3 linked regions of the Coturnix japonica genome follow. The protein of the gene in region 3 purifies or fractionates together with the protein of the main gene of each other region. This does not show direct contact. Links are inferred from orthologs where the notes say so. Each region holds a gene or a part of one and is shown on either strand. Other genes may lie near its edges.

The links. Proteins that work in one complex are often made in the same cells at the same time.
Region 1: the proteins of MAD2L1BP (region 3) and LBR purify together in Homo sapiens (co-immunoprecipitation; 3 studies listed by BioGRID and IntAct, counting the BioPlex papers as one, with this or other methods). This does not show direct contact. The link is inferred for Coturnix japonica from reciprocal best matches to the Homo sapiens genes MAD2L1BP and LBR.
Region 2: the proteins of MAD2L1BP (region 3) and MAD1L1 purify together in Homo sapiens (co-immunoprecipitation; 4 studies listed by BioGRID and IntAct, with this or other methods). This does not show direct contact. The link is inferred for Coturnix japonica from reciprocal best matches to the Homo sapiens genes MAD2L1BP and MAD1L1.

What each region holds. Positions count from the first base shown.
Region 1 is NC_029518.1:15,153,748-15,156,653, forward strand, and holds part of LBR (delta(14)-sterol reductase LBR), read left to right. Parts: intron 1-270; coding exon 271-396; intron 397-498; coding exon 499-667; intron 668-1,159; coding exon 1,160-1,240; intron 1,241-1,338; coding exon 1,339-1,461; intron 1,462-2,240; coding exon 2,241-2,401; 3' UTR 2,402-2,906. UniProt on the Homo sapiens protein: Catalyzes the reduction of the C14-unsaturated bond of lanosterol, as part of the metabolic pathway leading to cholesterol biosynthesis.
Region 2 is NC_029529.1:3,147,056-3,150,924, reverse strand, and holds part of MAD1L1 (mitotic spindle assembly checkpoint protein MAD1), read left to right. Parts: intron 1-1,461; coding exon 1,462-1,641; intron 1,642-1,952; coding exon 1,953-2,077; intron 2,078-2,711; coding exon 2,712-2,793; intron 2,794-3,869. UniProt on the Homo sapiens protein: Component of the spindle-assembly checkpoint that prevents the onset of anaphase until all chromosomes are properly aligned at the metaphase plate.
Region 3 is NC_029518.1:27,748,917-27,753,449, reverse strand, and holds MAD2L1BP (MAD2L1-binding protein), read left to right. Parts: upstream 1-1,409; 5' UTR 1,410-1,453; coding exon 1,454-1,759; intron 1,760-2,001; coding exon 2,002-2,532; 3' UTR 2,533-4,159; downstream 4,160-4,533. Other genes in the region: GTPBP2 (GTP-binding protein 2), read right to left, coding at 239-421; epoxide hydrolase 1-like, read right to left, coding at 4,251-4,452. UniProt on the Homo sapiens protein: May function to silence the spindle checkpoint and allow mitosis to proceed through anaphase by binding MAD2L1 after it has become dissociated from the MAD2L1-CDC20 complex.

The sequences.
Region 1 (2,906 bases), about 13 Mb from region 3:
TGTTGATAAATTTAAAGGGTTATTTCTATTTACCTTAGGACAACTCCTGCATTGTAGCTTGTTTGCTTTGTGGGGAATGAAAACCCCTCTGAGAGTACAAATATGCTGATGCTACGGCTTTGGAAAAGTCATTAGTACAATACATGAAACAGGATGTTTTTTACATCTTGAATATTAGTCAAAACCATCCTTATTAAAATGTTCTTTAGCATAATAGGAAAAAAAAATAGTTGTTCAAGAAAAAATTATAATCATTTCATTCTAAATTAGGTTGTTATAAACTTGGCAATGCTCTTGGCTGAGATGAAGATATATAACCAAAGTATGCCATCGCTGTCAATGATACTTGTGAACAGCTTTCAGCTTCTATATGTGGTGGATGCTCTTTGGAATGAGGTACAGTATAGTCTTCAGCTCTGTATTAACCTGAAACTATTTCTTACTACATTGTTTAAATAATGAAGCTTTATAAATTCTTTATTCCTTCCATATTTCTAGGAAGCTGTTTTGACTACAATGGATATTACCCATGATGGATTTGGATTCATGCTAGCATTTGGAGATCTGGTGTGGGTTCCATTTGTCTACAGTCTGCAGGCCTTCTATTTAGTTGGACATCCTGTCACAATTTCTTGGCCTGTTGCAGCTGCAATTACTATTCTGAACTGTAAGTTACAGTAAATGTTATTGTTACTGATAGTAACAATGTAGTGGTCTCTTCAGATCTGGTTTGTGTAATGCTGTATACTTGCAGTGAGTCAGTCAGTTTATGAAATATGCTCTGGGTCAATGGAGTAGGCACCTCAGAGTACTGGGCTGCTAGTAGAGCTATCTACTGTGACACATCACTTTACCTGGATTTTTGAACTCGGTGCTACGTAAACAAACTATAAGTCAGTTATAAACAGAAAGTAAGATGTGAAAGTGCAGCTTCTCTAAAATCTTAGAAGTTAGTCACTAACATGCTAGAGCATATGTGACAGTTCTCCAGTAGCACCTCTAGCTTGTTAGAGCTCTGGCAACTGGAGAGTGTCTTTTCCTCAGAAACAGGATTAATTTCAGTGCAGTACGAGTGACAAACAGCACGTGAGAGCTTTTGTTAAAGGATGAAAGCAGTATAAAATACAGAGAATGCAAAGTAACTAATATTTATTTCCAGGTGTTGGGTATTACATATTCCGTAGTGCAAATTCTCAGAAAAACAATTTCCGAAGGAATCCAGCAGATCCCAAATTGTCCTGTAAGTGCATCTTTTTATTTATTCAATTATTTACGGTGTCCCTTTGGACTCGTGACATGCACATTTCTGTTGTATTGACTGCAATGCTCCATTCATAGATCTGAAAGTTATACCCACTGCCACTGGGAAAGGACTTCTTGTCACAGGTTGGTGGGGGTTTGTTCGTCACCCCAATTACCTTGGTGATATCATCATGGCGCTTGCGTGGTCCCTACCCTGGGGTGAGTACCTAAGCACCTTAAATTCTATCTAAAATGGTTGTACATTTGGGGTTCTGAGTCAGTTTGAAATGTTAATTGATAAGTGGGGTAATAAAAGGTTTTATTAAATTAATGGCAAATTTCTAAGTTGCAAGCTTGAAGCTCAATCCAATGGCACAGTTTGGCTTCTGCAGGTTGTGGGATGTAGGGAATTGTGGCAGAGTGGGTCTTTGCAGTAGTTAAGGCCCTGAGTATCAGCAGAGACCAGGAATGAAATGTATCCATAGGGATTTGGGATTTCAAATTGAAAGTAGACAATATTGGCTAGCAAAAACACTTGTAGACAGTATCTTAGAAGAGGATTCCTGCATAAAAATGAGGAACTTGAATCCTCTCTTGGTAGCCACAGGGTGGGAGTGGGAGGGGATCAGGTAGGTGGTGCGCTCTGAGCAGAGGTAGTTACCATCCACACCCAACACAGAAATTCCTGTAGTTTTTGAGGCAGCTCAGAACTGTAGTTTTGGTAGCTAGAGAGCTTAAACATGTGCTGGGTTCATATACACAGAGTGAAGTCAGTGGGTTTTGAGACTAAATATGAAGCTTATTTGGGGAGGATAAAGAGGTGTTCCCACTCACACTTAAACGTCACATTATATGTGTGCTGTCCTGTTGAATATTTGATGCTTTATTATGAGCACAAGGTGCTTCGGCCTCTTAACAAGTTCACGTCACCACATGTTGCTAACAGCTAAAATGTTTGTTCATGCATTCAAATTGATTTTTCACACTTTATTTTACAGGTTTTAATCACATTTTGCCATATTTCTATGTGATTTATTTCATCTGCTTGCTTGTTCATCGAGAAGCTCGCGATGAACATCATTGTAAGAAAAAATATGGTTTGGCATGGGAAAGGTATTGTCAGCGTGTCCCGTACCGCATATTTCCTTACATCTACTAGAGCACTCCGGATTCCTGATCCACAAATTAAAATATACCTCTCACCTTTGCACTTGGTCTATTTGATATCTAGGCTTTAAACATTAAATGTGACCAAACAATGGAGTGCTTCAACAGGTATTTACAAGTAATCCTAAATGCTTATGAGTTATGTGAACTGACTGTCTATGACCTCAATTTAAGAGAAAAAAAGAAAAAAAAAGGTGAATTTTAAAGTCCTGGAGCCCTAATTTTTCAAGCTAAATTTTATCTAGAATTCTGAGTTTACATTTTATTTTTATTTTTTTTTAAATTGCATTAATTAAGCACTGTGATGTAAAGTATATTATTTTCTTAATACAATAAATACAGGAGTTCCATCCAGTGAATTTTTTTGGCGTTAATTGTACCATCTAGCTTCAGATGTCTGACTGAGCTGTCTTGTCTTGAGTGCAGAGAGCAGAGGCTCTGGGCAGCAGAGCTGTGAGTGGAGGATTTGGCCCCCCAGGAGGGCCCACACTCTCTGT
Region 2 (3,869 bases), on a different chromosome or scaffold from region 3:
GCTCTCCAGCTGTTAATGAGCACTCAGTCTTCAGACTTGAGCTCATCTGTAGTAAAGACTTCTGAATAGCATATGGTGTGTGTGCATTGTGCTACTTGCCAATGTGCACAAATCCTGTGTGAATGTCAGAACGTTGTTTGCTCATTGAGCAGTCTGATCTGATCGCTAGATCTTGTTAACACAGCGTTGGAATTGTCATGGGTTGCTGTAACAAAAAGGGATTTGTTCTTTGTTTTTCCTGGAGATATTTAAGCGCTTTTTCTCCCAAATGAATTTAAACTTTTGCTGGCACAATTGCAAGTACTTAGTTTCTGTGACTGTAATTTAATTGGAATGGCAGCAGTGCCAACCCATGCACTGTCACACAAGAGAGCTTTCATTGATAAGACTGTGAGCCTCACTCAGGGACTAATAGCTTTTCTTGGTTTCTGATTTTATGCCTGTATATGTTTGCTTAGCTTTGTCACTGGAAGTGCCAGTAGAGCTCTGGGTTCTGTATGATAATAGAAGTCCTACACGCAGCTAATTACTTAAAATGATTTTTTTAAAGCGTGTTTTGTTGTGTTTTAAGAGTGTTGGGTGATGGATTTAGAATGTGGTTGTTAAATAGTGGGTCAGTGACTCAAGTCTTCGTTCCTGTTGAAGTCAGGTGATTTAGCATTAAGCCACGAAGAGTTCAAACTGGAATCCAGCTGAGTCAGTCGCAGGAACCCTTGAAATACTAGTGCAGAAAAGGGAGCAGCACTAATCCAGCGCTGTGTAATCACCCTGCTCACATTCTGTGGTTTTTTTTGAGTCATGTGGATGAAAGCTTTAGGAAGCTCATATTGCTTTGCATAATCCTTACTTACTATGTAAATCCATGTCTCGATTTGCTTTGATTAGCAAAGCAATTTACTGCAGATTTTTCAAATAAGCATTAATCAATTTGTGGTAGGAAAAAACTGAGAAGGTGTATGAGAGATCGTCGGAGTGCAGAAATGTTTATTATGTTCATTGATAATACTGTGCATTTAAGCCCGGCTGCTTTTCCATTAAATAGCCTCATAAAACTGCCAGGAGTTGCAGAGGAAAGTTTGTCTTGCTAACACAACTACTGAGCTCTGAGGTTCTGAATGCACACTTGCTATGTGTGGTTCAGTTTTAAATCAGAACATCAAATGTTCTCGTCTTTGATCTGCTGCAGGGTGTGCAGTGCAGTCTGTGGGGCCGTGTCTGTATTCCAGGATTGGTGCCACTAACAGAGGGAGGAATAGTCTGTTTTCCAGCTTTGTTGCTGCGAGTAGTTCCTTGACATTGAGTTGCTGATGCTGTCCTTGCTAGTGGAAGGCTTAAAAGCTATTGGTGTTGATAACATGGCTTCGATGTGATGCTGTGGTGACCGCAGTTATAAAGAGGCAAAAAGGGCTTCACCTTTGTGCTGGTTTTCTATGTCTCTTTTCATGTTTTTCTCTTTGCAAGAGAGAGGCTGACCGTAACCAGGAGCTGCTCACACGCTTAAAGCAGTATCAGGAAAGGGAAACAGAAGCTGAAAATAAGCTGAAGGAGCAAATGGAGGTGAACAAATCCTATAAGAAGAGTATGGAGACCATGAGTAAGAAACTGCAAGAGAAGGAGAGCAAATTAGCTGAAGCTAATGAAGTAAGAACGGAGTAACTTTCTTATCCATTCGTAGATTCAGGTGACTTCGTAGTTCTTGTGAATGGAAAATGGCCTTTTTGATGTACCAAAAAAGTGTATTGCTAGAGTCAGCTTGCATGACTTTGAATAAAGAGTGCAGGAAGTGATGGAGGAGACAGCAAGATGGGAATTGTTCAGGGGCACTGGGGGAATTGTAGCGTGGATGAGACTGGAGTTATGCACAGTTCATTCTTCAGAATCATTAGTTGGATGTGACTTCTGTGTGTTACAATCTGTAATCTCCAGTTTCTTCTTTATTCCCACTAATGCAGACAATCACTATATTAAAAGGCAAAATATCTGATCTACAATGGAATATAATGAATCAGGAGATGCAGATGACAAGCCAAGACTCACAGAAGCAGGAGCTGATGGAACAGCTGGATGTTCAACATAAGTAAGCAGAAGACGAGTAACTATGAGGAGAAAAAAGCAAACAAAACTTCAGTCTTATGCAGCTGTTGTCACTCAAAAACCTTTCAACGCTGTTTGATTTCCACTCTTCAAAGGGATTCTTTGAACTGGATGTGCAGGTTATAAGTACTGTTTGAAAGTAGCTCTTAGCAGAATTTTATTTGTACCTTGAGGAAAAAAAAATTACTCAAGCTTAAAATCTCTCTCAGTGATGTTTCATGTTCGTACTGGAGAGCTGACAGAAGGCAGGTGGGTGGGAAAGGCTGATCTGAATTTTATAGATTGAACAGAACAAAAATAACAAGCCGTAAATCATAGGTGAGGGGTACTTGACAGATTTGAGTGTGTTTTTCTTTGCTATCCTTGGTTTTCCTTATTATTTGCTGTGTGTAAATATTTACTGATTTCGCAGTAAAAGAGAATATTTCTCAAGGTGCATCTTAAGTGAAGAAATTGATATCTTTTGTGTATTAGAGGAAGACAATGAGAGTGTGAGATGATCTTACATAACAGTACCATATACTTTGTTAGTGATACTTGGAAATGTTTACCATGCATGTGTCTTTTTCTGGTACATGTTTCCTGGGTGCTAAATCTCTCTTCTCTGTTTCTAATAGGAAATGGCAAGAGGCTACTCAGCAAATCCAGACATTGCAAGCGAGCCAGTCCCTACTGGCAGAATATGAACAGAAGATTAAGGTAAGACATTGGGGTTTGTATAAACCTTGTTTTGATTTTCTTTAAAAGTTTCTTCATTGTCAGAGCAGAAGTGTTCTGGATGAATGCTCTGTTTGATCTTGAGCCCAGTGTATTTGTATTCTAGAGCAACCTGGGTGATTTTCCTCCCCCCCCCACTGCTTAAATGCTGGAGGATGAGCCTAGCAGCTGTAGTTTCTGATCCCCAGAAAATCCTTTCTCTGGAGTTGGGGTTGGCTCTTTATATAACCTGCAATTACTTGCAGAGTTCTCAAAATCACAATAAAATGTAAGTGTAGGTATTTTATGTTCATTCAGAATACCTTGTTATGTTGATGTGAGTGTCTTTTCCACTTGCTTTTGGTCTTCCTGGTGGAGGTAGGGTTGCTTTTCTCTGAGCAGATGCTGATTATGACTTTATAGCTTCAGAAATATATAATGGCTTATATATCATATATCATGGTTGAAGTGGACCACAATGATCATCTGGTTCCAACCCCCTGCTATGTGCAGGGCTGCCAACCAGCAGCCCAGGCTGCCCAGAGCCACATCCAGCCTGGCCTTGAATGCCTGCAGGGATGGGGCATCCACAGCCTCCTTGGGCAACATGTTCCAGTGTTCACCCTCTGGGTGAAAAACTTCCTCCTAAGGACTTACTTTGCCTGTAGTTGTAAAGTTGTGCTGAAAGAGTCGCATTGCTCATTCTGTGATTGCAAGGGGAGACTTCCATCTGTAGGCAAATCCGTTAAAAAGAAAAGTGGGATAACAAGGTATCAGACTTTATTACAGCTCTAAATAAATATCTCCACCTCCATAACAATGTTTGCCATGATGCTGAAATGGGCACTTGTATTTCTTTTGGTTCTTAATTGCTCAGGACTACTCGTATGTCCATCTTTACAGTTAGTTAATGGAGGACAAGTAGACAAGAAAATCTGAGTTTTGGCTTAGTAAGAAGTTGTTTTATTGGTTGAGATTTCTTTTTTTTCTTAGGAACTTAGGGTAAGCAGAATGGTGCAGAAAAGAAATTAACCCATGTGTTAGAAATGCAACAAATGTCCTTGTTTTGAGCAGTGGAT
Region 3 (4,533 bases):
CCGAGCCCGCCGGCACCCGCCGCATCCCGGCGTACGACAACACCGCCTCCCCGAGCCGTGCCGGTACCGTGCCGTGCCGAGCTCCGTTCTGTATCCCGGAGCCGGGGATCCCCCGCAGCGCTGCCCCGAGCTCCCCCTCATTCCCACCCCGGCCCCGCGGCGCACAAAGCCGCCCCCCCGTCCCGTCCATCCCGTCGTGCGGCGCTGACAGGCCCCGTGTCGCCCCCCGCCGTGTCACCTCAGGCGGCAGGTACGGCGGGTTGTTGGCCTTGCCCCCCCGGCTCCGCCCGTTCTTCTTCTTCGCCTTCGAGCCGCCGCCGCCGCCGCCGCCGCCGCCGGGCGCGGCCCCTCCGCGTCCTCGCAACGCGGCTCCGTTGGGCCGGCAGCAGCCCCCGAACAGCTCCGACACCCGCGGATCCATGGCGGCCGCTGAGGCCCCGCCGCCCGCCGCCGTTCCCGCTGTCCCCGCTCCCCGCCCGGGCTCCCCTCCGCCCCGGCCCCCGCCGTCAGCGAGCCGCCGCAAGGCACCACGGGAAACGGAGTCCACGGCGCCACCCGCCTACGATTCCCAGCACGCACCGCGCCGCGCCCCTCTCGGGACTGCTGCTCCCGACGTGCCCCGCGGCGCTACCCGCAACGTCCTCTATGGGTTCCCTTCGCAAGGGCGGATGGGAGTTGAAGTCCCGTGCGGGCGGCGCCCCCTGGCGGCCATGGAGCTCGGGGTGCCCCGGTGCTCTCCGTTACGGGACGGGGCGCTCCAGCACACGGATATTGGCACCGGGGGCGGGAAGCCGGGGCGCTTTACAACATGTCTGGCAGCAAAACTACCCAGTAAAGGCGGAGAAACGGCACCACGTACGTGACAATTCACGCAGACACCGCAGCTCCTTCCGACGGGGCTCACAACGACAGCGCCGGGCTCGGCCCCCATGTGCCGTGCCAGCAGCACCCCGCTATTCACCCCGCACCCGGGGCACGGCGCCGCCGTGTCCGTGTCTGCCAACACGCTGTGGGAGGCCCGTGGCGGGCAGCGCCCAATGGGGCCGCGGACACGTTGTTTCCAAACACGGCCGCTCCCCCTCCACCCCGGCCGGGTGCCCGCCTCCTCCTCCTCCTCCTCCTCCTCCTCCTCGCTGCGGCGCTGCTGCTCCTGCCCAACAGCGCCCGGGGCGATGTGAGGCGGGGAGTTGTGCAGGGCCGGCCCCCATCACCGCCGTGCCCCCTCCCCGCAGCGCTGCGGGCGGGCTGTGGGACAGGGCACAGCCCCGCTGTCCCGGCCGCTGGGGGGCGCTCTTCTGCTGTTCTGCTGCGCAGGGCTGGCTCCTAGCGCCCTCCCCCCATCCAACATGGCGCCCGCTCTCCGGAAGCCGCGCAGTGGTCGCTCCCCCGCTCCCATGGTGCCCCGCGGCGGCGGCCATTCAAATTGCAGCGGGCGGACAGCGCCGCTCACAAAATGGCCGCGCCGGGAGGGACGCGGTCGCCCGGTGTGGCGGCTGCGGCGGCTCCGTGTAGTCCGCCCTCCCCGCTCCTCACGGCGGAGACGCCGCCAGCCCCGGAGCGCGGCCGCGTTGGGAGGAGGTCCCGGCGGAGCGCACCGACGGCTCTGAGCCCCGCCGTGTCCGTGGTGTTCCCGGGCTCCGTGAGCCGAGAGAGCTGCTGCCGCTTCGCCTGCGAGCTGCTGAAGCACGTCCTGCACCAGCGGCAGCAGCTCCCGCTGCCCTACGAGCAGCTCGCATACTTCTGCCAGCGGGCCGCGCAGGTGGGGGGCGGCATTGCCTTGGGGGGGGGGGGGGCGTTTAAAAGCCGCAATTGCAGCGCCTTCACTCGTTGTCCAACGTGTCCCCTTCTAGAAACCTGTAGGCTCCAAGCTCAAATGTTGCCTTCTGCACGTTGCTCCATCGTGGATGGAGGAGGGGATGCACCATACTTTATGAAGAGTGAATCAGGACCCTCTCCAATCTTTTTTACTTGTATTAATGTCTCTTTTGTTCTGGTTTGCAGGATGGAGATGTGATCAAGAAGCCGTCCTCTGTGGGCCTGGCAAGCAAGAAGTGCCAGCAGGTGCTGGTGGAGCTGGAGGGAGTGTTCCAACAGTTGGAAGTGATGTTCAGCTTGACGCTGGTTCCCCGTGTTCTTATTCTGCTCGGTGGCAATGCTGTGAGCCCCAAGGAGCTTTACGAGCTCAACTTGGAGGGGATCTGTGTGGGCAGCGCTGAGAAAAGCCTGAAAACCACATCCTGCGTACGTAAGCTTTTTCACTCGCTCTTCATTGCAGATGTCTTCAGTGAACTCAAAGCTCTTCCCGTCACGGGCACTGTTGTTATGCTCCAAGGGCATCGCAATTGTGGTGCGGAATGGTTCCGGCCCAAGCTCAACTACAAAGTGCCAACCCGAGGAAGGAAACTGACTATTAATTTGTCCTGTGATGGAGACGTTGATACAAGTGCCTCAGCTCCTCAGACTCTGACTTCTGCTTGGGAGGACTACATATGGTTTCAAGCACCAGTGACGCTCAAGGGCTTCCATGAATGATCTGCGCTCTATAGAACTTTAATGGGATATTGAATATTTTTTGGTGCTGCTTTAGGCAATAATCCTATCAAATATAATGGCACACTCTTGTCTCTCTGGATCTCTTCTCTAGGACATCTGTTGCCTTCCTGGACCACCTTCTTCCATGTTCACCTCCTGACTTGTCATTGAAAGCAAATGCCCTTTAAGGCACAGTTGCATACAGATATAGTGATTCCTTAAGGAGATTAATTGATATATTGGGTGTAAAAACTTCCCTGTGACATGCTTGCTGAACTGACAAATATCGGGTACAGTCCTTCTGTGTTTTACTCTCCTGAGTTTTACTGCAGCCATTTCTGTTAATGATTACTGCATTTTATGATCATTTGGGACAAGATAACATATATGATTATTAACATAGCTGGCCATTACTGTGAAGGCCATAACCAGTCTTTACCTCACTGATGTGAAAAAAGACCTTTTCCTGCAGCCTACTCAGGTTTGAGTACTCAAGTGCTTGCCCATCTAGTAGATGATATATTTCTTCCCATAACATTGTTTCAGATTGTTAGGAATCCAGCATGGTGCCCTTTAGCAACTGGGAGACTTCATACCTAACACTGTGTCTTATATTGGTGATGAAATGAGGCTGAGTGGTCCTGTGAAGGCAAGGGAGCACATCTGCCTATTTCTTTACTAGTTTTTAGCCCATCAGACCTAACAATCAGATTGATATGTGATTAAAGTTAGGAGCAAGCAGTTTATTCTCTCCTTCCTATGAAGTTAGGACTCCTGCCTCAATGTTAAAGCTTATTCTCACTTAACAGAAAATAAAAGTGTCTTATTTGCTTTTGGGGCAGGGAGGAGAAACAAATGCCAGAACCAGATATCTGCTGGAGTTGTCTTGAGTCATCTGGATATGTCTCTGCCGTGTAATGAGTTAAACAGCTCCATCCATAAGAAGAGAATCTCTAAGCTGTTGGTAGTAAGGTTGCTTACTAGGTGCTAACAAAAGCTGTTTGATGGGGTGATAAAAATCATTTGAAAGGAGGTTGTTAAAGGGTGAGTTAACCCTCTGCACTCAGTGCATATTTTAAGCTTTTCTGACATTTTGGCAGTGAATAAGATTGTAAAACTGGAAGGAAATCAGTTTTTTTAAAGAACACTACAGGTGCATTTTTGCCTTGTTATCCATTGACAGCTAGTAAGTGCTAAAACTAGCTCTAAGGACTGCTGGAATAAGGAGAGCTGCCTTATGTGCAGCTGCTCACTTGAGAGTATAATCACAGGTCTCTTGAATGAAGTGTAACTCAAATGATTCCATAGGAGTGTTTGATATCCTCAGGACATCTAAGCCCTTTACATTTCCACCAAAGCTGCTTGAAGTGTCTATTTAAGTATGCTAAAGTTTCAGTATTTGAAGAAGGAACAAGGGGCCAATTCCTTTCTATCTCCTCCAGATGAGTGCAATGTAACTGCATTAAGTTGTTTACATATTCAATTATACTTGAATTATGAATGCAGCAGTGATACGGTGCCAGGAATAGAAGACAAGATGCTTTTTTTCATATGAAGAGCTTTAGAGTTAAACAAGTTTAATAGTTATCATCATCATTATCAAAATAAAATGGCTTCTGTGTTGTGATCGTATTGAGTTTATTTAATCCCTTAAAGTAAGGCTTCTGTGTGTGGCAGAACAACTTGCTTCCACTCTATACATGTATCTAAATTCAGGTTCATAGCCGCTCCACCTTTCTCACAAAGCGGATGATGTCTTGTGCCAGCAGCTTTGGTTCCTCAAAGGCAGCAAAATGTCCTCCACGTGGCATGTAAGAGTACTGGACGATGTTCTTGAAGGTCTTCTTTGCCCAGACCTGTGGTGTATGTGCTATCTCCTGGGGAAAAGCCGCAACAGCTGTTGGAACGTAAACTCCAACCCTAAAAAGACATTGATTAACAGTATTTTCAAGAAGAACTTCTCAAAGTCATTTAAAAACCTTCTGACTCACAGCTGTCACA